4 linked regions of the Anolis sagrei genome follow. The protein of the gene in region 1 purifies or fractionates together with the protein of each later gene. This does not show direct contact. Links are inferred from orthologs where the notes say so. Each region holds a gene or a part of one and is shown in the gene's direction. Other genes may lie near its edges.

Region 1 (7,719 bases):
GTTCGGACAGATATGCTGGGACGGAACCGTATAGGGTTTTGTAGGTCAAAACTAGCACTTTGAATTGTGTTCGGAACTGGATCGGCAGCCAGTGGAGCTGACATAACAGAGGATTAGTATGCTCCCTGTATGATGCTCCGGTGAGTAATCTGGCTCCCGCCCGCTGGACTAATTGAAGTTTCCGAACAGTCTTCAAAGGCAACCCCACGTAGAGTGCGTTGCAGTTATCTAGAGAATGAATCCACTTTAAACCCTCCTCATGTCTTCCCTCCTCCATCGGAGGTCTGATCTTCGTCAGACAATGCTTGCAAAACAAAAACACCTGCAATTAAAAAAAATAGTTCTCCAAAATAGTCTACGTGCCAAGTCATGTTAAGAGGGAAAACACCTGCAGTTTAAAAGGGAATTCCCTGAAATGAAAGGCTTTAGGAAGGCAGGCATCCTCTGATCATAGGATTCTTGTTGTTGCTGTGTGTCTTACGGTGACCCTATTAGAAGAGGTTTCTTGGAAGAACAGGTCCAGAGGGGGTTTGTTTGCTTTTGCTTTCCTCCAAAGCTGGGAGAAAGGTGGCTTATTTATTATTGTTATTATTATTGTGTTGTCAAAGCCAATGGGATGTTGGACTGCAATGTTTTAAATTGTTTTTAACTTACCGGGATTGTGGCGCAGCTGGCTGAGTGTCAGCTGCATTAAAAGATCACTCTGACCAAAAGGTCATGAGTTCGCAGCCAGCCCAGGTTGGAGTGGGTTTCTAACCAATTGTGTGTAGCCTGTTGTCAACCTTTGCAACCCGAAAGACAGTTGCATCTGTCAAGTAGGAAAATTAGGTACCACATTAAAGTGTGGGGAGGCTAAATTAACTAATTTATGAGGCCATAGAGAAGACTCCAGCAAAGCATTCCAGCGGGGAAGCATGCAAGGAATGCGGAAGTACTTTATCAGCGTCGCAGATGGACGATGAAAGCGACAGCTCCAGCAGTCAGAAAAAGTTAAATAGCCTCTGTCTATGTCTGTATATGTCTGTATGTCAAAAATCGGCATTGAATGTTTGCCATATATGTGTAGACTGTAATCCACCCTGAGTCCCCTGTGGGGTGAGAAGGGCGGAATATAAAAGCTGTAATTAAATAAATAAATAAATAAATAAATATTATTTACTGTTTTAAATTGTTATTATATCTGTTATAATTGTTTTGTATGTTGTGGCATCGAATTTTTGCCTGTGTAAACCGCTCTGAGCCCGCCCCGCCCCCTCAGGGGTTGAGAAGGGTAGGGTAGAAATGTTGGAAATAATAAATAAATAAATAGGAATGTAGTGTCTATATCCAGGGAAGTCACACTATTCTTCTTTGGTCGGACCACACCTGGAATCACACTGTGTCCAATTCTGGCCACCACAATTGAAGGGAGAGGTTGACTCTAAGCTGGAATGTGTCCAGAGGAATTTGACTCCAAGAATCAAGGGTCTGGAGAACAAGCCCGATGAGGAGCAGCTTAAAAAGCTGGGCATGTTTAGCCTGAAGAAGAGAAGGCTGAGAGGAGATATGATAGCCATGTATATGTGGGGGGAAGTCATAGGGAGGAGGGAGAAAGCTTGTTTACTGCTGCCCTGGAGACTAAGATGTGGAACACTGGATTCAGACTACAGGAAAGGAGATTCCATCTGAACTTGAGGAAGAAATTTCTAAGGGTGAGAGCTGTTCAGCAGTGGAACTCCCTGCCCCAGGCTCCTCCTTTGGAGGCTTTTAAACAGAGGCTGGATAGCCATCTGTTGGAGGTGCTTTGAACGCGATTGTCCTGCTTCTTGGCAGAGAGTTGGACTGGATGGCCCTTTTCCAACTCTATGATTATATGAAAGCTAATCCTATGATGGATGGATGGATGGATGGATGGATGGTATCCTTGAAGAAGGAGCTGGGGGTGGTGACGACCAACAGGGACCTCTGGCGTGGGCTGGTCTGAAGGAAACGACTGAACGAATGAACAACAACAATCCTATCTCAATACACCTAAGTTTCTGTTGATTATGAACTGCACTTTAGGCACTCTAATTAGATGGATGGATGGATGGATGGATGGATAGATAGATAGATAGATAGATAGATAGATAGATAGCAGAGATAGACAGACAGACAGACAGATAGATAGCAGAGGTAGATAGATAGATAGATAGATAGATAGATAGATAGGTAGGTAGGTAGGTAGGTAGCAGAGACAGATAGACAGGCAGGCAGGCAGGCAGACAGATAGATAGCAGAGGTAGATAGATAGATAGATAGATAGATAGATAGATAGATAGATAGATAGATAGATAGATAGATAGATGATAGATCGATAGATCGATAGATAGATGGCAGAGACAGACAGACAGACAGGCAGATAGATAGCAGAGGTAGATAGATAGATAGATAGATAGATAGATAGATAGATAGATAGATAGCAGAGATAGACAGACAGATAGATAGCAGAGATGGATAGATAGATAGATAGATAGATAGATAGATAGCAGAGATAGATAGCAGAGATAGATAGCAGAGACAGAAAGATAGATAGCAGAGATGGATAGATAGATAGATAGATAGATAGATAGATAGATAGATAGATAGCAGAGATAGATAGCAGAGACAGAAAGATAGATAGCAGAGATGGATAGATAGATAGATAGATAGATAGCAGAGATAGATAGCAGAGATAGACAGACAGATAGATAGCAGAGATGGATAGATAGATAGATAGATAGATAGATAGATAGATAGATAGATAGCAGAGATAGACAGACAGATAGATAGCAGAGATGGATAGATAGATAGATAGATAGATAGATAGATAGATAGCAGAGATAGACAGACAGATAGATAGCAGAGATGGATAGATAGATAGATAGATAGATAGATAGATAGATAGATAGATAGCAGAGATAGATAGCAGAGATAGACAGACAGATAGATAGCAGAGATGGATAGATAGATAGATAGATAGATAGCAGAGATAGACAGACAGATAGATAGCAGAGATGGATAGATAGATAGATAGATAGATAGATAGATAGATAGATAGATAGATAGCAGAGATAGATAGCAGAGATAGATAGCAGAGACAGAAAGATAGATAGCAGAGATGGATAGATAGCAGAGATAGATAGATAGATAGATAGATAGATAGATAGCAGAGTGCCTTAAGCATATATATTGTGGAATCACCCCAAATGATTCCAAATGAGCATTATTTTGAGTCTAATAGCTCCTCTTCCCAACATTATTTGCCCAAGGTCACCAAATGCGCCTCTCTAAGCCGGGCGGGGGATTCGATCCCTAGTCCTGGTTGAACCTGAAGTCTACTCCAGTCCTACAAGAGCCGGTTCATTAGGATTCGAGATGCGAAAAGATGACCAAGCGAGTAGTAAGTCTGCGAGGCCAAGAGCAGCCCTGCCTTTTGCTGTCCCCTAGCGGCTTCGGTGCGCTCAGCGGAGGCGCTGGAAATCCTTCAATGAATCTATTTTGGGCAGCAGCTCCAGCCTCCCCCTCCTCCTCCTCCCCCTCCTCCTCCTCCGCCTCCCCTCCCCTTTTGACCCAGAACGTGTTTCCTCCCCCCTTCTCTTCCCTCCCCTTCCCCCCACCCCAAACGCCAGGCGGCTTCTTCCCCTCTCCATCCACTTGGTTGGGCATCTTGGCAACTGCAGGGCGCAGAGTCTGTTGCAGGGGGTCCCTCTTTGCCTGCGTCTCCTCCCAATTGGGGGGCCGCTGAGAGCCAGAGAAGGAGCGTGTCCCCATCCTCTCCCTTTGGGCTTCCTGTTTCCGTGCACAGCGAGCCCCCCAAAGGTGTATCCATCCAGCCCTCCATCCCGCAAGAGCGCCTCCTCCTCCTCCACCACCGCACTCCGCCTCCTGAATGCAAAGTTTCTTCTTCTCCGCGCCTGGAAGGATTGCGACTTTTCTGCCTTTCCTTTCCTGTGTCGGAGGCAGCGCCGTGGGGCAGTGAAGGCTGGTCTCCCTCCTCCAGGATTGCATGGCAGGCTGAGTCGCAAGGAAAGCGGTTTTTTCTCCAGTGGGGATGCTCTTCCTTCTCCTCCTCTTCTTCCTCCGTGCGCCCCGCTTGGCGCATCCCTTTGGATCCCGGTGGAAGTGACGCCTCCTCCCCAATCCTCTCCCTCATCTTCTCTGGATGAAGGCACAAGGAAGAAGAAGAAGTCAGTCCTTCCTCTCCAGAAATCCTCTTTCTTGCTACCTTGAGCTTCCCTCTCACTTTTTACCTGCTCTGGTTGAGATGAGCCACCTTTCTGCTTGAGGGAATTTGGTACCCAACATTTGGAGAGGCGCAAAGAAGAGAGAAAGAAAGAAAGGGGGAGAAGGTTGTTTTCCTTCTTCGTTGCGGGTGTTTCCTTCCCTCCCCCGCACGAGTGGGCATCTAGACCATTTTGCGAGTTGTTGTGATTGCAGGAATTGGCTGAAGAGGACCTTGGATGGAAGAGGAAGCAGGGGCGGAGGAGCCCAAGACATAGGAGGGGAGCTCCTTCCTTCCTTCCTTCCTTCCTCCCTCCCTCCCTCCCTCCCTTCCTTCCTTCCTTCCTTCCTTCTCTTTCTCTCCCCTCCTTGCTTCACAAACCGGGGTCCCTCTGTGGTAGGGAAGATGGGCTCCTCGAGATCCAGCAGCTTGGCAAGGGAAGCCACTTGCCCCTGGGGATTTAAGGAGGGAAAAGAAGGATGAAGGTGTCTTTTACTGAAGGGCATCCCTGGTAGGTTTAGATTTGCAGAGTCTGGAGAATCTTGATCCAGAGTTGCAGAAGAAGGGAGATCGGGACAAGTTGGGAAGAGACTTTCCTCCTGACAGCATGCACCTCAGAAGAGGAATGGGTTCAGTTCCTGATGCGAGACTGGGAGTTTGGGGTGAGTGAAAGCCCATGCCTATGCCCTTCTTCTCCTCTGTCCCTCTGCCACGCTGAGCCATCCCACGTCCCACCCCATGGAGACCGGACCTTGTTGAAAAAGAATGACTTTCTCTGACCGGATTAATGCCAGCTTGAATGGGAACCACTCGGGAGAGGCTGGGGGTATTAATGGGACCGGCGGAGAGGAAGATGTCCAGGCCAACAACGGCACCTCCTTGGCTCTGAAGCTGACCCTCCAGTCGGTGAGTGTAGGGGTCTTTCTGGCCCTCTTCGTCCTCTCGGCCATTGTGGGCAACATTTTGGTCATCCTCTCCGTGGCCTGCAACCGTCACTTGCAGACGGTCACCAACTACTTCATCATCAACTTGGCCATCGCCGACTTGCTCCTCAGCACCACCGTCCTGCCTTTCTCAGCCACCTTGGAAGTTCTGGAGGACCTCTGGGTCTTTGGGCGCATCTTCTGCGACATCTGGGCAGCGGTGGATGTCTTGTGCTGCACGGCCTCCATCATGAGCCTCTGCATCATCTCCGTGGATCGGTACATCGGGGTCAAGTACTCTCTGAAATACCCCACCATTATGACTGAGAAGAAGGCGGTGATCATCATGGTGGCCGTCTGGATCTCCTCCATGGTCATCTCCATCGGTCCCCTTCTGGGATGGAAGGAGGCACCTCCTGAGAACGACCAGCACTGCAACATCACGGAAGAGCCAGGGTATGCCATCTTTTCCTCCCTCTTCTCCTTCTATTTGCCCCTGGCCGTCATCCTGGTGATGTACTTCAACATCTATGTGGTGGCACGGAGGACCACCAAGAGCTTGGAGGCCGGGGTCAAAAAAGAGAGGAGCAAATCCATGGAGGTCGTGCTCCGGATCCACTGCCGCAGCGTTGTGGAGGACTCCCAGGCCAGCACCAAGAACAAGGGACACACTTTCCGGAGTTCCCTCTCCGTGCGACTCTTGAAGTTCTCCCGGGAGAAGAAGGCCGCCAAAACCCTCGCAATCGTGGTCGGGGTCTTCATTCTCTGCTGGCTGCCTTTCTTTTTCGTACTGTCTTTTGGTGAGTGGACAGTTGATATTCTCATGCTTTGTTTCTCATCTGTGCCATTAAGTGCTATCATTCTATTTTTATTACTTTATCACAGTGTGGAGGATAAAGCTTGGAGCTTGTGTAACTCCTCTAACATTCAGACTATTGCCCAGAATGGGTATGCTGGCAGTCATTCATCCATAGAGGATCACTCTGTCAATGTGAAATGTTGATTCTGGTCTCAGTATAACTGAGATTATAGCCCAAGAGTTTGGATAGTTCCGTTACTGTTCAATACCAAAACTTAGAGTGGAGTTCTCTGCAATTGTCAAACTGTAGAGTCGTGTTTCTCAACCTTCCTAATGCCATGGCCACTTAATACAGTTCCTCATTTTGTGGTGGCCTCCAACTATAAAATTATTTTGTTGATACTTCATAAGTGTAATTTTGCCACTGTGATGTAATCGTAATGTAAATATCTGATATGCAGGATGTATTTTCATTCACTGGACCAAGTTTGGCACAAATACCCAATATGCCCAAATTTGAATACTGGTGGGGTTGTGGGTGGATTGATTTTGTCATTTGGGAGTTGTAGTTACTGGGATTCATAGTTCACAAAAGAGCATTCTGAACTCCACCAATTTGGAATTGAACCAAACTTGGCACACAGAACTCCCATGACCAATGGAAAATACTGGAAGGGATCAGTGGGCATTGAGCTTGAGTTTGGGAGTTATAGTTCACCTACATCCAGACAGCATTGTGGACTCAAACAATGATGAATCTGGGCCACACTTGGCATGAATACTCAATATGCCCAAATGTAAACACTGGTGGAGGTTTGGGGGAAATAGACCTTGACATTTGGGAATTGTAGTTGCTGGGATTTATAGTTCACCTACAATCAAAGAGCATTCTGAACCCTAGAATTGGGCCAAACACATAGAACCCCATGCCTTGAAGGGACTTGCTGTCACGTCCTCCCTCCAGCCTCGCATGCTCTCTCTCACCCATATATGCGTACCGTGCTGCCATGCGTTGAACCCTACTAACTATAGAATTGGACCAAACTTCCCACACAGAACCCCCATGACCAACAGAAAATACCGTTTTCTGATTATCTTTGGCGACCCCTCTGACACCCCCTCATGACCCCCTCCCAGGGGTCCCAATCCTCAGGTTGAGAAACGCTGACCTAGAGGATGTGCCCATATCACCTTGGTGCCTTTTAGCCAAATATTCTATTGCAGTTTTGGCACTCTAGTTGAAGGAAAGGAATAGCTGTAGTTCCTTCCAAAGTAATTGTGAATGTCATTATTTGCGTGGTTGTTGGTGATTTTGAAGTCAGTGAGGGGATGCTTGTGCTTTGGATTTCATTTCAAACTTGAAAGGGAACTATACGTGCTGTTTATCCCTAAAATAGGTTCAATTCTCTTTTCGAGTTTGGATTGAAACTCAGGGCAGGTTCACCATTCCTCATTGATGCCACCAGCTTCACCCACATGACTCTGAAGGGACATGACGTTAAGAGAACTATTTATTTTTCTTCTTTGGAAATATGTGTGTCCTGCTGAGAAGCTGATGGTTCTCAGGATGGTGCACAGTGTGTCTTTTAGACAGATTTCATTTTTAAAGCCATCAAAGCAAGTTTATTGTGGAGCTAGGGAGAGGTGAATGCAGCAATCCATTCCATCTTCCCTACTTTGAAACCTGGTATTTGGGGGAAGATGACCCTCCATCTGGGCTGGCTTATGAGCAGAGTTTGGAAAGACAGCCTTTAGGTTGGACTACAACTCCTCGA
Region 2 (8,144 bases), on another chromosome or scaffold:
CAACTATTCAATGCCTTTGGACAACAAACAGAATATGCTTAAGTTAAAAATTAAAATTAAAATTAAACGCACATTAAAAAATATAAAACATTGCATTCATTATTAAAATCATGCCATCCTCAGTGTAATATGGGCCATTTTAAAGACCAATTGCACATATTTCGAGACTATTATTTGCACTATAGATTAATCTCCAAAGGCTTGACCCCAGAGCCAGGTTTCCACTTTCCTTCTGAAGGTCAGGAGGCAGGGAGCTGCTCTAATAGTGCTAAATAACCTAAAAGTGGCAGATCTGGCCTGATCTCGGAAGCTAAGCAGGGCCAGTTCTGGTTAATACTTATGGTTAGTACTGGTCAGTACTTATATGGGAGCCTGGCAATGAATACTAGGTGCTGTTGGTTATATTTCAAGGGCTGGGACTGGCCAAACCATCTATAAGTATCCCTTGCCTAAGAAATCCCTATGAAATCCATGGGGTAGCCATAGGTTAACAGGCAACTTTAAAACACATAAACACATAAGGAATGAAGTAGTAGAGTAAGAAAAGAGGAAAACAACCTTGAAGGAGGATAGACTCAATAAAGAAATCCATGGCCCTAAATTGCAAGACTCAAGCGGGGTTATTAACCGGGTTCTCATTTGTAGGATCACCATACACCTAATCATACTTCATGGTAGTTAACAACAATTAATACATTTATTCTGTGCTGGCTGATCTTCACCCATCTATTCAAAGATTTCTTAGGAAGTCTTGAATCAGTCTGCAAGAGCACAAAACACTTCGTATTCAGAAGATCCAAGGTTCAGTGTCTGGTAGAACTGGGAAAAGTACCTGGAGAACTGCTTAGACTCCGTGCACAGGCCATACCAAACTAGATGGATGAATGGTGATTTATATAAACTGCCGTGTAGCTTCCTATATTCCTAAGCATAAGCTGAGGAGTTTTCTATTAGGGTATCTTTTAAATTTAACAGTTCAGTAAAAAATCATCCTCCCACTTCCAATTAATGATTGTTTAAGGGATTAATGCTTCTGTTTGTAAACTACTCTCTCAATATGAATGAAACAGTACTGTATTACCTTTCTGTTTAGTTCTGTATTTTATTTTAATTTTAAATAAGGATAGATTGCTATTGTCTAAAATAGTGTGCAAAGAGAAAATAGGCAGGAATAATTAGGTCCATTGTTCATATACTGTCTATAAACATTTTTTAATTTTAAAAAAATATTTCATTGTGACGTGTTTGAATTACATTTGAAAAACACAGTAAGTCTTCCACATTTACAGGTTTGACTTTTGAGGATTTTTTTTTATTTGCAAAGTTGATTATATTCATCTTAGATCCCTTCCAGACAGGCCCTATATCCCAGGATCTCATCCCAGTTTTTCTGCTTTAAATTGGATTATATGAGTCCGCATTACCAGATAATCTGGAATAAACAGAAAACCTGAGATCAGATCCTGGGATATAGGGCCTGACTGGAAGGACCCTTAGAAATCGTGGGCAGTGCATCTAATATAATACTGTCTTGCCACTGTCACAGGCACGATTGGCGGGGACAAGAGAGAGGGCCTTCCCAGAGATTGCCCCTTGGCTATGGCACTCCCTTCCTGGTGAGATTAGATCTTCAGAAGGATGGTAAAAACTTGGCTGTGGGACCAAGCTTTTGGTACAGTGCAATAGGAAACCTTACCATGCCGACTAGATTCAATATGGGTGATTGAGACGGTTTTATACCGTGGATTTTAATGCCAGATAAATTATTTTAATGCTTATGTATGAGTATAATTTATTTATGTTCTGGCATTGGGCGGAATATAAATGTTTTAAATAAATAAATAAATACTGTACAATATTTGTGCTTATAATACAGCATTCATACAGGGCTTATATTTGTGCTTATACAGTGACACGCACGTATAGCATACACAGTAATATAATATGTATCATATGAAGTGGGTATTTTGGGTATTGGGTTTTGGGATACATATACATGAATGTTTGAGTTCCACTTTTCAACCATTTCCATTTTTTGATGGCACTCTGACACTTAAACCGTCTAATAAACCGAAGATGCTTCTAGTGCAATAAATTGCATTTTATTGTACTTCTAGTACCTCTCCTCTTGCACCACCAGCATTCTGCTTCTAGTACAAGGTTTGTAACCTGGCTTCTGTGTGTTGTGGGATTTCAGCTATTGCAAGGACCAAAGATTTGGCATGTGAAGTTTCCAAAGGATTGAATGAGACACAGATGGATGAAGGCAAAGATCAGAGGCTTAATTCTCCTTGGCCAAAGAGGATGTCAGTAGAGTCAGCAGCACCCCAAAAAGTGACATAAGTGCAACTGCAAACATATAGAATTTTTTATAACACTTTGACAGCTATTCAAAACAGAGACTCTAGCATGCTGGCTGTTGATTGATGCAAAATGCTGCCAGCTAAATCCACCTCCTGATAGGTCCAAGAGCTCCATCCATTATCATAGCTGATTGGCTTCAGATGTGGGAAATGTAATAAACTATCATTGGGGTTTTTTGAAGGTTTGAGCCTGTTTATTGATCTCAGGGCAAAGGTGCAAGTAGAAAGGAATGTGGCTGGGCTAGAGATGATAGGCTGAAATGGTTCTGTTTCTACCAGGAAAATGGGTGGCAGCCAGGTACACAAAGTAGTGTCCAGGCTATTGGCACAGAAGTCTTGAGACCCCAGGGAAGGGGTCCATTCCAGGGACTGGGATGAGGAAACATTCCTAGGAACAAAATCAGACAATGTCTAGAAAAGCCCTATGGCTTATCCTAAGCCTGTTCTGTGTCCTGTCTCTCTCAGGGCATTGTGAAAGGATTATGATAACGAAATGTTTGGACATTCGCGGAGGTGTGTGTGGTGTGCACATAGTGCTTAAGCAACATTTAGGTGAGTTCATTGAAGGGTTGCCTGAAACTAGGGAAAGGGTCACCACAGACACCCTGTTGGTTCCTATGGAGACATGGATTCTTGGTTTCGTCTTTTGAGGTCTGGTTTTTGATAACATGTGCACAGAGGTGGCACATGTTATCACTTTCTGCATTTCTACCCTCTACTTGCAGGTAGAAATGCAGAATCACTGCACAACTGAAAAAAAAAGCAAATTAAAAACACACTTTAAAAAACCTGACAGAACACTTCTCTGGAAATCTTTATATGCTACAGTATAGCAGAAGTTGGCTACAGAATTGCACTGGAGGACCTAGATATTTCTAGAACAAATGTTTCAATCAAATCCATAATGATCAAATCTGTAAACATTAAAACCAATAACACATGGAGAGCCAGTTGTGATTTGCATGCATAACATGCCTGAAAAACAGACCTGTTCATTGATTTCCATTCTAAAACCCTTCTTGAAGCCCACTCAACTCTCAACACCAGCTGGAATGGGACTCACTTTGGGGTCAGGACCCAAAACTTAAGAAGCAGTGTTCCAGAGCCTCAAGACTCTGAGCCACATTAGGTCAAGGTTGGTTCCTCTTTTGTACATATCCGCATCCCATCCACACCTGATGAAAAATTAGATGTGGTGTGATGTAGTAGCCTGAGTGCTCTCCATGCAATTTTTCAATTCTGCCACAAAGCTCATGAGGTGGTTTGGGTCACAGGGATCATCTACAGCAGGCATGGGGAAACTTTGGCCCTCCGGGTGTTTTGGACTTCAACTTGGCTAATAGGAATTGTGGGACTTGAAGTCCAAAACACCCGGAGGGCCAAAGTTTGCCCCTTCCTGATCTACAGTATTAATGCAGTTTGACAACCACTTTAACTGCCAGGGTTCAATGCTGTGCAATACCGGGAGTTGTAGTTTTACAAGCTTTTCACTGTCTCTGCCACCAAAGCCTCACCAGACTCCAAATTCCAGGACTCCATAGCCTTGAGCCATGGCAGTTCAATCTGTGTTGTCAAAGGCTTTCATGGCTGGAGTCACTGGGTTGTTGTGAATCTTCCAGACTGTATGGCCATATACCAGAAGCATTCTCTCCTGACGTTTCACCGACATCTATGGCAGGCATCCTCAGAGGTTGTGAGGTTTGTTGGAAACAAAGCAAGTGGGGTTTATATATCTGTGAAGTGTCCAGGGTGGGAGAAAGAACTCTTGTCTGCTCAAGGCAAGTGTGAATATTGCAATAGATCACCTTGATTATCACTGAATGGCCTTGCAGCTTCAAGACTTGGCTGCTTCCTGTCTGTTTTCTGAGTGTTGTTCTTTATTTAGTGTCCTGATTTTAGAGTTTGTAAATACTAGTAGCCATATTTTGTTCATTTTCCTGTTTTTTTCCCCTTTCTGTTGAAATTGTCCACGTTTGTGGATGAAAATGAATAAAATCCGGCTACCAGTATTTAAATGAGCTTTCACCCACTCTGGACATTCCAGAGATATATAAACCTCACTTGCCTAGTTTCCAAAAGACCTCACCACCTCTGAGGATGCCTGTCATAGATGTGGGCGAAACGTCAGGAGAGAATGCTTCTGGGACATGGCCATACAGCTTGGAAAACTCAACAGCAACCCAGTTCAAACTGTATTACTTCTTTTCTGCCTCTCCGACGGGGAGGAGGCGGGACGGACAGCCTTCAGCTGGGAGGAAAAGAAAATTACAAAAACAAAAAAAAAGAAAAAGAAAAACCTAGTGTCTGGGGCTGATTGACAGGCCGGCAGGTCACGTGACACTCTCTGCCACGCCGCGAACCTCCTTGGAGGGAGGGGACGAAGGGATGAGTTCGGTGAGCGCGCGCGCGCGGATGCTCGTGCACGCGGCTCCGGGAGCAAACTTCCCAGCGCAGCAGAAAGTTTGCTGAGAAGGCGGGAACGCGCCTCAAGGGGAGGAGGAAGGAGAGGAGGGGGGCGGGTGTGGGCGCGCGCAACCACCTGGGTGCCTTGTCAGCGCCGCCTTCTCCTTTGGCTTTGCGGGACAGAAGAGGCAGAGCCTGGGCCAAAGAGTCGCCAAAGCTGGCTGGCCCGGAGCCCCTTCCTCCCCTCCCTTCCTAACAAACAAAGGCAGACTCCAGAGGAGGAGGAGGAGGAGGAGGAGGAGGAAGAGGCGCGCCGGGTGCAGGAGCCGCCTCGGTCCGTCTGTCCGTCCCCTTGCTTGCTTGCTGCGAAGTTGAGCCCTTGCGGGAGGGAAAGAAGGAGGGAGGGAGGGAGGGAGGAAAGGAGGCGCTTCTTCCTCCTCCCCTTCCTCCTCCTCCTCCTCCTCCTCCTCCCACAGGGCTCCAGAAAGTGAGAGGAGAGGCGCTTAGGCTGCGCAACTCCACCAAGGAACGAAAGTCAGCGGATTGGGAGGAAACTTTGCCTTCTTCCTCCAGGAACTTTTTGGAAGAGGCTTTGGCGCTGAGTTTGGAGGAAGAGAGAGAGAAATAGGTGGACTCTCCGCACCGCATGGGACCCTGCGGGAGGTGAAGCCTCTGGCGGGGTTGGTGTGCAGGCAGGTAAGCTGGGCGATGATTGACAGGCGGGTGGGGTGGGGTGGGGTGGGAGGGGAGGGGAGGGGAGGGGGGCAGGAGGGCCGACAGGGGAGGAGAAAAGGACCTCATCCCTCCCTCCATAGCCTCCCCCCTCCCTTCACCATAGACCTATCTGGCCGACCCTCAATGGGAGAGGCTTAGGTTGCATCCACATTGTGGAATGAATGCACTTTGGCACCACTTGGACTGCCAGGGCTCCATGCTGTGGGATCCTAGAGTTTGCAGTTTGAGGAGGCCCCAGCACTCTTTGGCAGAGAAGGAGAAAGACCATGTAAAACTTCATCTCCGCAGCACAGAGCCATCTTTGATGTGGGGACAGTTAGTCCAAAATTTCCTTGTCTGATAAAACAGAATAGGCCACCCTCAATTTTTTTCCATGTCAGGAGTGACTTGAGAAACTGCAAGTCGCTTCTGATGTGAGAGAATTGGCTGTCTGCAAGGAAGTTGCCCAGGGGACATTGGATGTTTTACAATCCTGTGGGAGCCATCTCTCTTGGTCTGCATGAGGAGCTGGAGCTGACAGACAGGAGCTCAACCCGGTCCCCAGATTTGAACTGCCGACATTTCGATCAGCAGCCCTGCTGGCTGTCCATCCAACAGCATTCACTTTCACCAAGGATTAGGAAAGTCAACAGATAAGTGATAATGTTTGAGTGGGAGCTCACCCCATTTTGTTTGGAAGAGGTCTTGACTTGTGCCTTCAAGGCCCCCAATTGGCTTGTATCCCCCCAAAACCCCACACACAGATGGCCTTCCATTGCTCCTGTTTGCCTTCAAGTCCTTCCCCACTAAGGGTGACCCTTGAGACAAGCAACGGTTACTGTTTTTCCTTCAGGGATATTCAAACCCTGGTCCCCAAAGTTCTAGTCCAGCATTGAAACCACAGAGTGCATCTATGCCAGGGATAGGCCAGCTTGGGCCCTCCAGGTGTTCAACCCCCGCCATTCCTAACAGCCTCAGGCTCCTTCCTTTCCCCCCTCAGCCGCTTAAGGAAAGAGACTGAGGATGTTAGGAATGGCGACACTTGAAGTCCAAAACACCTGGAGGGCCCAAGTTGGCCTATGCCTGATCTATGCTGTAGAACAGACATGGACAAACTTCAGCCCTCCAGGTGTTTTGGACTGCAACTTCACAGTTCCTCACACCTGGAGGGCTGAAGTTTGCCCATCCTTGCTGTAGAATTAATGCAGTTTGGTCAAACTTGAATTGCCGTGACTCAATGCTATGGAATTATGGAATCTGTTAGGTTTGGCCTTACTTATTTTTCTTGGCCTTCCTCGGAGGATGGGAGAGTTTGACTGGTTCAGAGCCACATTGTGAGTTTTCATGGCTGAGTGAGGATTGGAAGCCCTGCTCCTTAGCGTCCTAATCCAACACTCAAACTATAGCAATTATCTGCACCGTAGAATGAATGCAGCTTGACAAGACCTTAATTGCCATGGCTCAGTGCTATGGAATCTTGGGAGTTATAGTTTGGTGAAGCATCAGCACTCTTTGGCAGGGAAGGCAAAAGACCTTGTGAAACTAAATCTCCCAGGATTCCATAGCACTGAGCCTGGGCAGATAATGTGGTGTCAGGCTTTCATTGAAGGTGGAGCCCCAGTAGCTCAGTGGGTTAAACCAGTGGTTCTCAACCTGTGGGTCCCCAGATGTTTTGGCCTTCAACTCCCAGAAACTTCTGGGAGTTGTAGGCCAAAACACATGGGGACACACAGGTTGAGAACCACTGGGTTAAACTCTTGTGCGGCAGGGCTGCTGACTAAAAGGTTGAAAGGTCAGTGGTTTGAATCCAGGGAATGGGGTGAGCTCCTGTCTGTCAGCTGCAGCTCCTCATGTGGGAACATGAGGATGGTGAAATATTTGGGCACCCCCTGGGCAATGTCCTTGCAGACTGCCAATTCTCTCACACCAGAAGTGACTTGTGGTTTCTCAAGTTGCATCTGACACACGGGAAAAAAACCCAGGGTGGCCTATTCTGTTTTATCAGACTAGGAATTTTTGGACTACTTGTCCTTCCCCCAGTTCAATAAATGCCATGTTTCTTTAGAAAATGTTAGCACACAATTCTCTTGCCTTTGAGAGACTTAACAAATTTGGGGTGGTCTAAGCTTCCATGGATTAGTGAGGCCCCTTCATCAGGTGATTTGGTCAGAGTGGGCTGGGGAAATGCTTCTAGTCCTTTTGCCTCCTAGTTCTGTGCGAGTATGTATCTACTTATAGGGTGGATTAAAGGATACTTCCATGCAAGCAGCTTTTCGTTCCTCTGCCCTAGTCAGCTTTCAATGTGCTTGTGTGCATAGGTACATAGGAGATAGGTGGTTGTGATGGTCCTAAAAGGCCATTAAGCTTTTGTAAAATAATTCCTTCTTTAGCTAATTGGTAGGAGTTCTCCATGGAGCAAAGGCATTACAAAATTTTCATAGCTAGCCTTACCATTAAGTAGAGTGAGGCAGACACCTCAGGCAATGGATTTGGGGTGTGCCGTGAAAAGGCAGAAAATTGTTAGTTATTTAATTCATTATGTTCGTATTTTTATTACCAGGAAAGGAGGAGGCGTTTTGAGACTTTCTGCCGCTGGTGCCAGAATAACTTGGCTGTCCTAGGTTACTATGCATTTTGGCTTGGGTGGGGAAGGCGTGTGAAAAT
Region 3 (7,606 bases), on another chromosome or scaffold:
GCAAAACTCCTTGGACCCAAGACAACCAGAGACTGTAATGTATATTTTCCTTTACCCCTTTGAAACTTCCAGCTTATTGCCTTAAAGGGATAACTCTTTATGAACAATTAAACTTATTTTGAGTTATCTACAGTGTTTTGGTCTTTGGGAGTTCCAGTTTTCCTAAAGGAGGGCAAGAAGCAATCCCCTGGGGGAAAGATGTCCATGCCTCTTTCACTAAGAGTTATAGCCTCCAGGCGCGACGGCATATAGTTGATGGCTCCTTGCTTTAAGAATCCAAAAAATTAGGAAAGCAATGTGTTATAACTGGAACAGGGGCCAACTGAATACACCTTAGGAGGGCTTGCATTCTAGGGACTTGAGGGTATATTGCAGGCTTGGGCAAACGTTGGCCCTCCAGGTGTTTTGGACTACAACTCCCACAATTCCTAACAGCCTCGGGCCCTTTCCTTTTCCCCCTCAGCCGCTTAAGTGGCTGAGGGGGGAAAGGAAGGGGGCCTGAGGCTGTTAGGAATTGTGGGAGTTGTAGTCCAAAACACCTGGAGGGCCAACGTTTGCCCATGCCTGGTATATTGTTTCCTCCCTCTTGTTGCTCTATTACACTGTTGCGCTGGCTGGAAGAATCAGTACACAGTGTTAAGGTTGTTAAAGACAGGAAAGGGAAACCTCTCTCCTGCTAATTCAGTTGGAGGTTTCCTATTCAGCCGGGAACTTTTTTCTATCTTTATTGCCAACCATTGAGAATTTACTTCGAGCTTTGGAAAGTTTTGCAGTAATATGTGCTCTGGCTTGTAGCTCTGGAAGGTTTTGCATGGCACAGGAATTCTGGTTTGTGAATTGGCAAGGTTTTGCATGACACAGCAGCTCAGGTATGCTCAGTGGAAAGAGTCTATATAACATATGACCCTTCATTTACAGATCTGTAAGGTTTGCATGTATGACAGCCACCCAGCTGAGGTAAATGGTAAAATATAGCCTTGCCCATTTTATTTCAGCCTTACCTTATGCCCTTCACCCCACTGACTGTGGAATGCAGCCACTCCCTACTGAAATTGTTTCCAAATTGGAATCTAACTCTGGGCTAAAAGGTGTTTCCCCCTCATTTCCCCAGGTCAAGCAGATGCCTTTTCTGATATTAACATGTGAGGTACGTTAACTGATTTTTACCCCACACTGAGTAAATCCAAACTGCAAGCCTTTTACCTTCAGGGTGAGTGCGACCCTATCTAACACAGGTTGAATACCTATTATTTGATCTGCCTTCCAGGATCACCTTTCTTATCTAGATTAAGGGCCCTTCCACACAGCCCTATAACCCTGAATGCAAAGGCAGAAAATCCCACAATATCTACTCTGAACTGGGTTACTCGAGTCCACATTGCCGTATATTACAGTTCAAAGCAGATAATGTGGGATTTTTTTCAGCTGTGTGGAAGGGACCCAAAATGCTTGCTTATAAAACTATTGTCCTTTATAAACAAAACGTGAACCTTCTACAGCAGCTTTTCTCAACCTGGAGGTCGGGACCCCCAGAGGGTCACAAGGGGGTGTCAGAGGGGTCGCCAAAGACCATCAGAAAACAGACCTCACTACCTCTGAGGATGCATGCCATAGATGCAGGCGAAACGTCAGGAGAAAAATTGCCTCCAGAACATGGCCATATAGCCCGGAAAAACCTACAACAACCCACATAGTATTTTCTGTTGGTCATAGGTGTTCTCTTATGGGAAGTTTGGCCCAATTGTATCATTAGTGGGGTTCAGAATGCTCTTTGATTGTAGGTGAACTATAAATCCCAGCAACTAAAACTCTCAAAGGTCAAGGTCTATTTTCCCCAAACTCCACCAGGGTTCACATTTGGGCATATTGAGGATTTGTGCCAAGTTTGGTCCTGATCCATCATTGTTTGAGTCCACAGTGCTCTCTGGATGTAGGTGAACTACAACTCCAAAATTCAAGATCATCGCCCATCAAATCCTTTCAGAATTTTCTGTTGGTCATGGTAGTTTCGTGTGCCAAGATTGGTTCCATTCCATTGTTGGTGGAGTTCAGAATGCAATTTGATTGTAGGTGAACTATAAATCCCAGCAACTAAAACTCTCAAATGACAAAATCAATCCTCCCAAGCCTACTAGTATTCAAATTTGGACATATTGGGTATTTATGCCAAATTTGGTCCAGTGAATGAAAATACATCCTGCATATCAGATATTTACATTACAATTCATTACAGTAGCAAAATTACAGTTATGAAATAGCAACAAAAATAATTCTATTTTGGGGGGTCACCACAACATGAGGAACTGTATTAAGGGGTCACGGCATTAGGAAGGTTGAAAAAAACTGTTGTACAGAGTCACACTCAACTTCTTGAATACATAGCAGGGTGGACTCAGAGCCCTTCCACACAGCCATATAACCCAGAATGTCAAGGTAGATTATCCACAATATCTGCTTTGAACTGGACTATCTGAGGGCCCTTCCAGACAGGCCGTATGCCCCAGGATTTTATCCCGGATTTTCTATTTATCCCAGATTATCTGGCAGTGCGGACTCATATAATCCAGTTTAAAGCAAAAAACCTGGGATCCAATCCTGGGATATGGGTCATGTCTGGAAAAGTCCCTTCCACACATTTGCATAAAATCCACATTGCACTGGATTAAATAGCAATGTGGACTCAGATAGCCCAGTTCAAAACAGATATTGTGGATTGTGCACCTCGATATTCTGGGTCCCCTTCCACCCAGCTGAATAAAATCGCAAATTATCTGCTTTGAACTGGGATATATGGCAGTGTGGATTCAGATAACCCAGGGCCGTTCCAAACAGTCCTATATCCCAGAATATCAAGGCAGAAAATCCCACAATATCTGTTTTGAGCTGGGTTATCTGGGTCAACACTAAGATACTGTGGGCTTTTCTGCTTTGATATTCTGGGATATAGGGCAGTGTGGAAGAGCCCTCAGATAACCCAGTTCAAAGCAGATATGGTGGGGTTTTCTGCCTTGATATCCTGGGATATAGGGCTGTGTGAAAGTGCCCTCAGATAACCCAGTTCAAAACAGATATTGTGGGGTTTTCTGCCTTGATATCCAGGAATATAGGGCTGTGTGGAAGGGCCATTGGATAACCCAGTTCGAAGCAGATATTGTGGGATTTTCTGCCTTGATATTCAGGGATATAGGGCTGTGTGGAAGGGCCCTCAGACCCAGCAGTTCAAAGCTGATATTGTGGGATTTTCTGCCATGATATCCAGGGATATAGGGCTGTGTGGAAGGGCCATCGGATGACCCAGTTCAAAGCCGATATTGTGGGGTTTTCTGCCTTGATATTCTGCGATATAGGGCTGTGTGGAAGGGCCATTGGATAACCCAGCTCAAAGCTGATATTGTGGGGTTTTCTGCCCTCATATCCTGGGATAAAGGTCTGTGTAGAAGGGTCCTCAGACGACCCATCTCACAGCAGATATTGTGTGGTTTTCTGCCTTGATATACTGGGATATAGGTCTGTGTGGAAGTGTCCTCAGACAACCCAATTCAAAGCAGATATTGTGGGGGTTTCTGCCTTGATATTCAGGAATATAGGGCTGTGTGGAAGGGCCATTGGATAACCCAGTTCAAAGCCGATATTGTGGGGTTTTCTGCCTTGATATTCTGCGATATAGGGCTGTGTGGAAGGGCCATTGGATAACCCAGCTCAAAGCAGATATTGTGGGGTTTTCTGCCCTCATATCCTGGGATAAAGGTCTGTGTAGAAGGGTCATTGGATAACCCAGCTCAAAGCAGATATTGTGGAATTTTCTGCCTTGATATCCTGGGATAAAGGGCTGTGTGGAAATGCCCTCAGACAACCCAGCTCACAGCAGATATTGTGGGATTTTCTGCCTTGATATCCAGGAATATGGGGCTGTGTGGAAGGGCCATTGGATAACCTAGCTCACAGCAGATATTGTGGGATTTTCTGCCTTGATATTCTAGGCTATAGGGCTGTGTGGAAGGACCCTGAGAGGGTTTATTAACCCAGAAGGTGGGGAGGAATAAGGCATGGCAATTTTCCCGCCTGAGGGGCGAAGCGAGCGCGCGCGACCCTCTGAGGCCACCCTATTGGCTGGAGGGGGGGGGGCGACGTCCGAAGGCGGGAAAAAGAGGGGGAGAGGGAGGGCGGAGAAAGGGGCGGAGCCTCGAGGGGGAGCCCCGGCTTCTCTGCCGCCGCCTCTTCATTCCTCTTCTGGAGAAGGAGCGAGCGGCGCGGCTCCGGAGCAATGGCCGCGTTCCTCGGCGGCGCAGGAGGAGGAGGAGGCGGAGGAGGGAGCCTCGGGAGCGGGGTCTGCCCGTGGCCGCGCTCCCCTCCGGGCTCGGCGCTGGGCTGGGAGCCGCTGCTGCCGGGGCTGCAGATCCGCTCGCGGTCGGTGGAGCAGACGCTGGTGCCGCTGGTGGCGCAGGTATTGCCCACTCCAACCCAGCCCTCCCCCTTCATTGTCCACTTTGAAGGCTCCTTCTCCTCCCGCCCTATCTTCCTCCTCATTTGGGACTCACTTCGTGTGCCCAGAAAGGGACTCATCCGTTCCCCTTTCAGCCGAAGCGCCTTCAAACGGGGAAGGACTTTCTCTCTTTTGAAGGGCAGCCAGCCAGCCATCCATCCATTCACCCCGGCCTTTGCTTTTTGGCTTGGCTTTTGGGGCGCTTCTTTCTTTCACATAACTTTCCCTCATTCTTTTTTCTCCTCCTTTCGACTGTAATCCGTTTTAAAGAGCCTGTGACTAACTTCCGCGAAAGTTTGGGCGAAAAAAGTTTTGGCTATTGTTGTTGTTGCTGCCAGGCTCGTTGCTTTGTGTGGCTTTGTGAATATTGCATGAGCCTTACCTTGAGCCGAGGTAGGATTCCTGCGCGCTCTTTGGAGAAGCAGGAGGAGGCTAGAAATAGTCCCTTGGGCTCCATTGGGGGGTTGCCAGCATCGTCCCTACCAAATCCCACAATATCTGCTTTGAACTGGGTTATCCAATGGCCCTTCCACACAGCCCTATATCCCAGGATATCAAGGCAGAAAACCCTACAATATTTGCATTGAACTGAGTTGTCTGAGGGCACTTCCACACAGCCCTATATCCCAGAATATCAAGGCAGAAAACCCCACAATATCTGCTTTGAACTGGGTTATCCAATGGCCCTTCCACACAGCCCTATATCCCAGGATATCAAGGCAGAAAACCCTACAATATTTGCTTTGAACTGAGTTGTCTGAGGGCACTTCCACACAGCCCTATATCCCAGGATATCAAGGCAGGAAAAACCCACAATATCTGCTGTGAGCTGGGTTGTCTGAGGGCCCTTCCACACAGCCCTATATCCCAGAATATCAAGGCAGAAAACCCCACAATATCTGCTTTGAACTGGGTTATCCAATGGCCCTTCCACACAGCCCTATATCTCAGGATATAAAGGCAGGAAAAACCCACAATATCTGCTTTGAATTGGGTTATCCAATGGCCCTTCCACACAGCCCTATATCTCAGGATATAAAGGCAGGAAAAACCCACAATATCTGCTTTGAACTGGGTTATCCGATGGCCCTTCCACACAGCCCTATATCTCAGGATATAAAGGCAGGAAAAACCCTCAATATCTGCTGTGAGCTGGGTTATCGGATGGCCCTTCCACACAGCCCTATATCTCAGGATATAAAGGCAGGAAAAACCCACAATATCTGCTTTGAACTGGGTTATCGGATGGCCCTTCCACACAGCCCTATATCTCAGGATATAAAGGCAGGAAAAACCCACAATATCTGCTTTGAACTGGGTTATCCGATGGCCCTTCCACACAGCCCTATATCTCAGGATATAAAGGCAGGAAAAACCCACAATATCTGCTTTGAACTGGGTTATCCGATGGCCCTTCTATCGTCAACTACCAAACTCAAGATTTTCGTATTTTGTCTGTTTTTGTTTTGTTTTGTTTTTTTGCTTTTTTCTGTTAGAAATGTAACATAATCAACTGGTTGCACTGACACGATGAATAAATAAATAAATAAATAAAGCACCGTCCCTTCTCAGGCTGTGTCTAGACTGCTCTATATTTTAGGACAGAGGTCCTCAAACTTTTTAAACAGAGGGCCAGATCACAGCCCCTCAAACTATAGGCCTGGGTAACAACGGAAAGGAGAGAGAGAGGAGGGTGGGTGAGTGACATCTCTATTCTGGTTTGACAGTGCTTCTTCTCAATAATAATAATAATAATAACAAACCACTTTCTGCCTTCGTGAATGTATGGGACAGTCAAAGCAGTACTGAAAGATGGCCATCCATTCTTAATAATAATAATAATAATAAATATAATAAATATAATTAATATAATAGTTTTAACCTGGAGAAGGAAAGGGGGGGAAGGAGAGAGAGAGGAGGGTGGGTGACTGACATCTCTATTCTGGTTTGACAGTGCTTCTTCTCAATAATAATAATAATAATAATAATAACAAACCACTTTCTGCCTTCGTGCATGTAAGGGACAGTCAAAGCAGTACTGAAAGATGGCCATCCATTCTTGATAATAATAATAATAATAATAAATATAATAAATATAATTAATATAATAGTTTTAACCTGGAGAAGGAAAGGGGGGGAAGGAGAGAGAGAGGAGGGTGGGTGACTGACATCTCTATTCTGGTTTGACAGTGCTTCTTCTCAATAATAATAATAATAATAATAACAAACCACTTTCTGCCTTCGTGAATGTATGGGACAGTCAAAGCAGTACTGAAAGATGGCCATCCCTTCTTAATAATAATAATAATAATAATAATAATAAATATAATTAATATAATAGTTTTAACCTGGAGAAGGAAAGGGGGGGAAGGAGAGAGAGAGGAGGGTGGGTGACTGACATCTCTATTCTGGTTTGACAGTGCTTCTTCTCAATAATAATAATAATAATAATAATAATAATAACAAACCACTTTCTGCCTTCGTGAATGTATGGGACAGTCAAAGCAGTACTGAAAGATGGCCATCCCTTCTTAATAATAATAATAATAATAAATATAATTAATATAATAGTTTTAAACTGGAGAAGGAAAGGGGGGAAGGAGAGAGAGAGGAGGGTGAGTGAGTGACATCTCTATTCTGGTTTGACAGTGCTTCTTCTCAATAATAATAATAATAATAATAATAACAAACCACTTTCTGCCTTCGTGAATGTATGGGACAGTCAAAGCAGTACTGAAAGATGGCCATCCCTTCTTAATAATAATAATAATAAATATAATTAATATAATAGTTTTAACCTGGAGAAGGAAAGGGGGGGAAGGAGAGAGAGGAGGGTGAGTGAGTGACATCTCTATTCTGGTTTGACAGTGCTTCTTCTCAATAATAATAATAATAATAACAAACCACTTTCTGCCTTCGTGAATGTATGGGACAGTCAAAGCAGTACTGAAAGATGGCCATCCATTCTTAATAATAATAATAATAATAATAATAATAAATATAATTAATATAATAGTTTTAACCTGGAGAAGGAAAGGGGGGGGAAGGAGAGAGAGAGGAGGGTGGGTGACTGACATCTCTATTCTGGTTTGACAGTGCTTCTTCTCAATAATAATAATAATA
Region 4 (7,451 bases), on another chromosome or scaffold:
AGCCTGCTTAGCTTCCAGACAGAACCCCAAAGGTCCCATTTTGTGGTCGAAACTCTCAAATTGCTCCAAACCAGCATGACACTTTCGCAAGAGACTTGAATTGGGAAACACAGATTTCCAGTGCCGTGCCCCACTGCATTGCTTCCGGACTGAGCCGAGATTGCATCACAAGTCAAGGCAATAAAATCAGGAACAATTCATAAAAGCGGCCTTTATTTCCTAGGGCATCCTAGCCTGCTTTTTCCAGTGCACATAACACACCCACACCTGGGGCAAGGAGTGAAGAAACACAGCAGAGAAAGTCCTTATATCTGGAATCTTTTATTTGGAAATGCAAAATACTCCAAAATCTGAGTTGCTGAGATAGTGCCTATTTCCTTTCTGAAGAGGCAGTGGATAAACACCTGTCTTCATGCCTCAAATTATATAATATTATAGCCAAACATACATTCAGGTGATATGTTTGAACTGTCTGTGAAATATGTAAGTGAATTTCTTGTTGGGACTTGAGTCTGAACTCCAAAATATCACATTATGAATAAGCAAATATTCTGAAATGGGGTCGGGGAATCAACATAATCCCAAATGCTTCTGGTTCCAAATATTTTGGATAAAGGAAACTCAACCTGGGGAAAGTCAGCATGGGATAGTGATTTGAGTGTTGGTCTAAGACTCCGGAGACATTCCTGTTTGGCTATAGAAAGCAGAGTGGGCTCCCGTCTGTCAGCTTCCCATGCGGTGACATGAATGAGGCCGCCCACAGGATGGTAAAACATCCGAGTGTGACCTTGGCAATGTCCTTGTAGATGACCAATTCTCTCACAGCAGAAGCAACTTGCAGTTTCTCAAGTCACTCCAGTACTACTACTACTATTACTACTACTACTACTAATAATAATAATAATAATAATAATAATAATAATAATAATAATAAATAGATAGTCATCAGAAAGCTTGGGCAAGTCATGTTCTCTCAGTCTCAGAGGAAAACAATGCCAACCCCCTTCTGAACAGCTGTTGCCAAGGAAATCATATAACCTTATAGTTGCCATAAGTGTGTCTAAAAGCATATTCAGGTGACATATTCAAGGTGTCTACAAAACAAAAAATGAATTTCCTATTGGGGCTTGGGTCCCAGTCCAATATGTCTCACTATTAACATGCAACTATCCCAAAATCTGGGGGGGGGGGGGGAGAGGGGGATCCAAAACACTTCTGGTTTGCTGCTAAGGTACAGCCAATGTGGTCTGATCAAGTCTGGAGACCAGGGTTTGATTTCTTACTGGGTGATTTAGGGCAAATCTCAGCTCCAGATCATTCTGTATGAGAGTTGTCTTAAGTCTAAATGACTTGAAGGAAGGCAACAACAACAGTGGAAACTAAGGAGACCGCTCCTGAGGCACTTTTGCATCACCTCTCGTAATCTCTCTACATTGTAGAATTAATTTTGTTTTCTCCTTCGTAGTCTCTGTGAAAGGTTAGGTTTTAAATGCGTCATGGTGTCATTGTTTTTAGTGTTTTATTGTTTTGCTTGCTGTTTTTTTATTTGCTTATGAATTTTATTGTTGTATTTGTATGCTGTTGTTTGTTGGTGGCCTTGAACTTTGTAAGCCGCATCGAGTCCTTTGGGAGATTTTGCGGGGTATAAATAAAGTTAATAAATAAATAATAATAAATGCATACATATGGTAGTTGATGCACCATATGTGTGAATTTCACAGATGACCACTCAAAGAAACATGTTTACAGGAAAGCAACCATCATTTCTCCTTCGTGGTCTCTGTGAAATACACAAATATGGTGCATCAGCTACCATATGTGCGAATTTAACAGATGACCACTCAAGGAAACATGGCTACAGGTAAGTGACCATCATTCACCCCACTTGAACTGCCATGGCTCAATGGTATGGAATGATGGGAGTTGTAATTTTACAAAGATTCCCACCTTTTCCATCCAAGAGACTGGGAGATTGGCACCCACCAAACTGCAATCCTATGATTTCATAGCATTCAGCCATGGCATTTAAACTATGCTGCAAATAAATACTCTGCGGGGGGGGGGGGGGGGCTTGTGCTGAACTCCATGCATTTCACATGCATCTACACTGTAAAAAAATAATGCATTTTGACACCACTTGTACTGCCATGGCCCAATGCTATGAAACCATGGGAAATATAGTTTTACAAAATCTTTTGCCTTCTATGTGCAGGTGTACGCCGTACAATGCAACAGTGCAAACTATAACTTATATGAGATCCTCTCACCTTTGCAGGAGTCTACTTACACCATGCAGCTGTGGACAAGTCTACATAGGGACCACCAAATGTAGCATTGGCCAAACACAGGCTGTATGGCCATGTTCCAAAAGCATTATCTGCTGATGTTTCACCTACATCTATGGCAAGCATCCTCAGCAGTTGTGAGGTCTGTTGGAAAGTGAAGTTTATCTGTAGTAAGGGCCAGAGTGGTAGAAAGAGCTCTTGTATGTTGGAGGCAGGTGTGTTTGTTGCAATTGGCTACTTTGATTAGCATTTAATGGCCTTGCATTTTCAAGATCAGGCTGCTTCCTGCCTGAGGGAATTCTTTGTTGGGAGGTGTTAGTTGGCCCTGATTGATTCTTGTCTGGAATTCCCCTGCCTTTTGAGTCTTGCTCTTTATTTAGTGTCCTGATTTTAGAGGTCTTTTAAAAATACTGGTAGCCAGATTCCCCCAGGAAGCTACCAACCAGGCTTTGAAGCTGCAAGGCCACTAATGCTAATCAAGGTGATTATTTGCAACACTCACACCTGCCTCAATCAGACAAGAGTTCTGGCTGGTTGCTGCCTGGGGGGATCCCTTGCTGGGAGGTGTTACCTGGCCCTGATTGATTATTGTCTGGAATTCCCCTGCTTTTTGAGTCTTGCTGTTGATTTACTGTCCTGATTTTAGAGTATCTGAATCCAGACTGTCATATATTCCAGTTAAAAGCAGATGATGTGGGATTTTATTCAGCTGTGTGGAAAGGGCCTTGGACCTCATCACACTCAAGAATGAATCCACTTTATATCCAGTTGCTGCCTCCTGCAGAATTCTGGGCATTGTAGTTTAAGGAGGATCATAGAATCATAGAGTTGGAAGAGACCTCGTGGACCATTCAGTCCAACCCCCACCAAGAAGGGAAATCGCATTCAAAGCACCCCCGACAGATGGCCATCCAGCTTCTGTTTAAAAGCTTCCAAAGAAGGAGCCTCCACCACACTCCGGAGCAGAGAGTTCCACTGCTGAACAGCTCTCACAGTCAGGAAGTTCTTCCTCATGTTCAGCTGGAATCTCCTTTCCTGTAGTTTGAAGCCATTATTCCGCATCCTAGTCTTCAGGACAGCAGAAAACAAGCTTGCTCCCTCCTCCCAATGACTTCCTCTCAAGTATTTATACATGGCTATCATATCTCCTCTCAGCCTTCTCTTCTTCAGGCTAAACATGCCCAAGTCTTTAAGCCGCTCCTCATAGGGCTTGTTCTCCAGACCTTTGATCATTTTAGTTGCCCTCCTCTGGACACATTCCAGCGTCTCAATATTTCCCTTCAATTGTGGTGCCCAGAATTGGACACAATATTCCAGATGTAAACAATATTCCAGAGGAGCCTTTAGCAGCCTCACTGAACTACAAACCCCAGAATTCTCTAGGAGGCAGAAACCGGATTTAAAGCGGATTCATTCTCTAGTGTGATGAGGTCAAAAGTGGTGTCAAACGGTAGGCATCCGATAGTGAATATTTGCGACGTTCCTCAATGGCACTCTCTCGTGATTTTTTCCCCATTCAGGTTTGAAAGGAGAGTGTGAGAGCGCATGGGATGCCGTCCACAGACTCCACGCCGCTTCCATTGCGCGGGCTCAATGCTTTGGGTTCTTGGGATGTATAGTTTGGGGAGGCACCGGCACGTTTGGGCAGGAAAGCACCGTGCAAAGCTGCAAGTCCCAACCAAAGTATTGAAACGGGGCGCTTGAAGCGGTGCCAAGGAAGTGCCCTCTTTCTCTCCCAACTCCACTCCGCGCCGACTTGGGCTTCTCCTTCTCCCTCCCCACTTCGCTTGGCTTTCTTGGCCCGCTCCTCCCCTTCGGCGGGAGTGCTTTGGGGCTGGCCCTCCTCCTCCCGGAGCCTCTCTCTCTCTCTCAACCTCTCTCTCTCTTTCCTCCACTCTTTCTCTTTCTCTCTCTTTTCCCGGAGGCGAAAGTCCTGCGCGCCGTGCGCCTTTCTCTCTCCTCCCGGCGCTCGCCGCTTTCCGAAGCGCTCCCTCCTCCTTCCGGGGTGTCGTGGGGATCCCCGAAGTGCCAGGGCTTTTGGGGAGCAATGCTCCAAAGATGGCGGTAGCAGCGGCGTCCGGAGGTGGCCTTTGGGGACCCAACCGGAGCGGCGCGCTGGAAGTTTTGGTGCGCGACCGCTGGCACCGGGTCTTGGTGAGCCTGGGCGAGGAGGCGCTGGTCCTGAGCGCCGAGGAGGGGGGCGGCGGAGAAGGCGGCCTCTACAACGGGCTCGGGGCGCCGGGCAGCCCTAGCCATGGCCCCAGAGCGGGCTCGGACTCGGCTTCCGTCCGGACGGCGTTCACGGACCTGCCCGAGCAAGTGCCCGAAGCCTTAGCCAACGCCAAGCGGCGCGTCAAGGTGCTCAAGCAGGAGGCGGGCGGCTTGGGCATCAGCATCAAGGGCGGCAAGGAGAACAAGATGCCCATCCTGGTCAGCAAGATCTTCAAGGGACTGGCCGCCGACCAGACCCAGGCGCTCTACGTGGGCGACGCCATCCTCGCCGTCAACGGCGCAGACCTCCGCGACGCCACCCACGACGAGGCCGTGCAGGCGCTCAAGCGGGCCGGGAGGGAGGTCCTCCTCGAAGGTAGGGCTGAGGCTCCTGCTCCTCCTGGGCAGCATCCGGCAGGGCTTGGCACCTCACTGCCTTAGGCGAGCCCTCCGTGTCCCAGTAGGATAGTCTTCCAAGATACCCTAGCTGGCTGTGGAGCCCTATTCTTGACCCGCATCTTCACCCGCAGTGAGGGCATTGGTTTCCAGGTGGGGGTTGGCTTGACACGCCTTCCTCTTGGCACGTTTCTCTCTTTCACCCTCCATTCGTCCCTCATCAAATTCTACAGCACTGCTGGTCACAGCTGACCTCCAGCTGGAGCAGTCAAGGGCCAGGGCTTCCCAGTTCTCAGTGTCTATGACAGAGTTTTTTAAGGTTCACTTTGAGTCCATCTTTCAATCTCTTTTCCTGCCCACCAACATTCCGTTTTCCATTCTTGAGTTCGGAGTAGAACAACTGCTTTGGGAGATGGTGGTCGGGCATCCGGACAACGTGGCCGGTCCAGCGGAGTTGATGGCAGAAGACCATCGCTTCAATGCTGGTGGTCTTTGCTTCTTCCAGCACACTGAAGGAGCCCCCGGTGGCGCAGTGGGTTAAACCCCTGTGCCGGCAGGACTGAAGACCGACAGGTCACAGGTTCAAATCCAGGGAGAGGTGGATGAGCTCCCTCTATCAGCTCCAGCTCCTCATGCGGGGACAAGGATGATAAAAATATCAAATCATCCAGGCATCCCCTGGGCAACGTCCTTGCAGATGGCCAATTCTCTCACACCAGGAGTCACTCCTGACATGACAAAAAAAAAAAAAAGCATGCTGACGTTTGTCCGCATGTCTTCCCAAGAGATTTGCAGTTTTTCCCGAAGGCAGTGCTGATGGCATCATTCCAGGAGTTGCATGTGATGTATGTAGACAGTCCACGTCTCACAGGCATATAGCAGGGTTGGGAGGACAATAGCTTTATAAACAAGCACCTTGGTATCCCTACAGATGCCCCGGTCCTCAAACACTCTCTGCTTCATTCAGAAAAATGGTGCACTCGCAGAGCTCAGGTGGCATTGCATTTCAGTGTCAATGTTGACTTTTGTGGAGAGGTGGTAATGTTACACCATTAAGCTGTATTTCTGGCATTGGAGAGGGATTGGCTGGGGACTGCTGGAACAGCACAATTGTTTTTTCAGCACCCCCATTCCAAGGGAGCGAGCAAGGAGCTTTGGGGGAAAGCAGGCTGAACACAAGGCAATCTGGTATTTCTTTATTTATCGTGTCAGAAGCAAACCAAACAGTTGTATTGTATTTTTTTAAAAAACACAAAGTTTGCAAACTTGGCATTCTATTTATTTATACCCCATGCTTTTCGCAATAATGGGAGTTAAAGAAGCTTTGCAATTGTGTGCCTTTCTGGAGGTTGCAAAAGTATGATAGCTGGGACCCTACGCTAGTAGCTGGGATCCTACACTGGTTGCGCAACGCGGGGGCAGGATTAATGAAGGGAAGTAATGTTAGAGGTATTTGCTGTGAAATGATAAACAATGGCTTACGAAGACGGTAAACGGGGTAGGAATGTTTCCTCTTTCCCTTTCTGGTGAACAATGTTTCCAGTATTCTGACGTAGCAGTGTCTCTTACTTGCTCTGCTGTCTCACACACTTCTTCCCTTCCTTAATTCACAGCTGCGTTATGCAACTAGCGTAGTGTTGGGTCCCAGCTATCATACTTTTGCCCTGAAGGTTTTCACCCTTCAGTGAGTGACTGCATCTGCAATTATTGTGATTGTTGTCGTTTATTCGTTCAGTCACTTCTGACTCTTCGTGACCTCATGGACCAGCCCAGGCCAGAGCTCCTTGTCGGCCTATCACTACCTCCAGCTCCTTCAAGATCAATCCAGTCACTTCAGGGATCCCATCCATTCATCTTGCCCTTGGTTGGCCCCTCTTCCTTTTTCCTGCAATTTCTCCCAGCATCATAGTCTTCTCCAAGCTTTCCTGACTTATCATGATGTAGCCAAAGTACTTCCACTGTGCCTCTACTATCCTTTCCTCCAGTGAGCAGTCGGGCTTTATTTCCCGAAGTATGGACTGGTTGGATCTTCTCGCAGTCCAAGGAACTCTCAGAATTTTCCTCGAACACGACAGTTCAGAAGCGTCTATCTTCCTTCGCTCAACCTTCCTTATGGTCCTGTTCGCACATCCGTAGGTTACTACGGGGAATACCATTGCTTTAACTGTGTGGTTCTTCGTTGCCAGTGTGATGTCTCTACTCTTCACTATTTTATTAAGATTGGTCATTGCTCTCCTCCCAAGAACTACACATCTCCTGCTGGCTGCAGTCTGTGTCTGCAGTAATCTTTGTGCCTAGAAATACAAAGTCTGTCACTGCCTCCACTTTTTCTCCCTCTATTTGCCAGTTATCAATCAGTCCGGTTGCCAGAATCTTGGGTTTTTTTTAAATGTTTCAACTGCAACCCAGCTTTTGCACTTTCTTCTTTCACCTTGATTAGAAGGCTCCTCGGCTCCTCCTCGCTTTTGGCCATCAAAGTGGTATCATCTGCATATCTAAGGTTGTTAATGTTTCTTCCAGCAATTTTAACCCCAGCCTTGCATTCGTCAAGCCCCGCAC

What was found.
Region 2: the proteins of ADRA1D (region 1) and UTRN purify together in Homo sapiens (tandem affinity purification; 4 studies listed by BioGRID and IntAct, with this or other methods). This does not show direct contact. The link is inferred for Anolis sagrei from reciprocal best matches to the Homo sapiens genes ADRA1D and UTRN.
Region 3: the proteins of ADRA1D (region 1) and CTNNAL1 purify together in Homo sapiens (tandem affinity purification; 3 studies listed by IntAct, with this or other methods). This does not show direct contact. The link is inferred for Anolis sagrei from reciprocal best matches to the Homo sapiens genes ADRA1D and CTNNAL1.
Region 4: the proteins of ADRA1D (region 1) and SNTB1 purify together in Homo sapiens (tandem affinity purification; 4 studies listed by BioGRID and IntAct, with this or other methods). This does not show direct contact. The link is inferred for Anolis sagrei from reciprocal best matches to the Homo sapiens genes ADRA1D and SNTB1.

Annotation. Positions count from the first base shown.
Region 1 is NC_090025.1:9,059,387-9,067,105, reverse strand, and holds the start of ADRA1D (alpha-1D adrenergic receptor), read left to right. Parts: upstream 1-4,539; 5' UTR 4,540-4,987; coding exon 4,988-5,945; intron 5,946-7,719. UniProt on the Homo sapiens protein: This alpha-adrenergic receptor mediates its effect through the influx of extracellular calcium.
Region 2 is NC_090021.1:76,107,338-76,115,481, reverse strand, and holds the start of UTRN (utrophin), read left to right. Parts: upstream 1-4,879; 5' UTR 4,880-5,462; intron 5,463-8,144.
Region 3 is NC_090024.1:105,059,522-105,067,127, forward strand, and holds the start of CTNNAL1 (alpha-catulin), read left to right. Parts: upstream 1-4,208; 5' UTR 4,209-4,264; coding exon 4,265-4,444; intron 4,445-7,606. UniProt on the Homo sapiens protein: May modulate the Rho pathway signaling by providing a scaffold for the Lbc Rho guanine nucleotide exchange factor (ARHGEF1).
Region 4 is NC_090024.1:21,346,329-21,353,779, forward strand, and holds the start of SNTB1 (beta-1-syntrophin), read left to right. Parts: upstream 1-4,115; 5' UTR 4,116-4,343; coding exon 4,344-4,872; intron 4,873-7,451. UniProt on the Homo sapiens protein: Adapter protein that binds to and probably organizes the subcellular localization of a variety of membrane proteins. May link various receptors to the actin cytoskeleton and the dystrophin glycoprotein complex.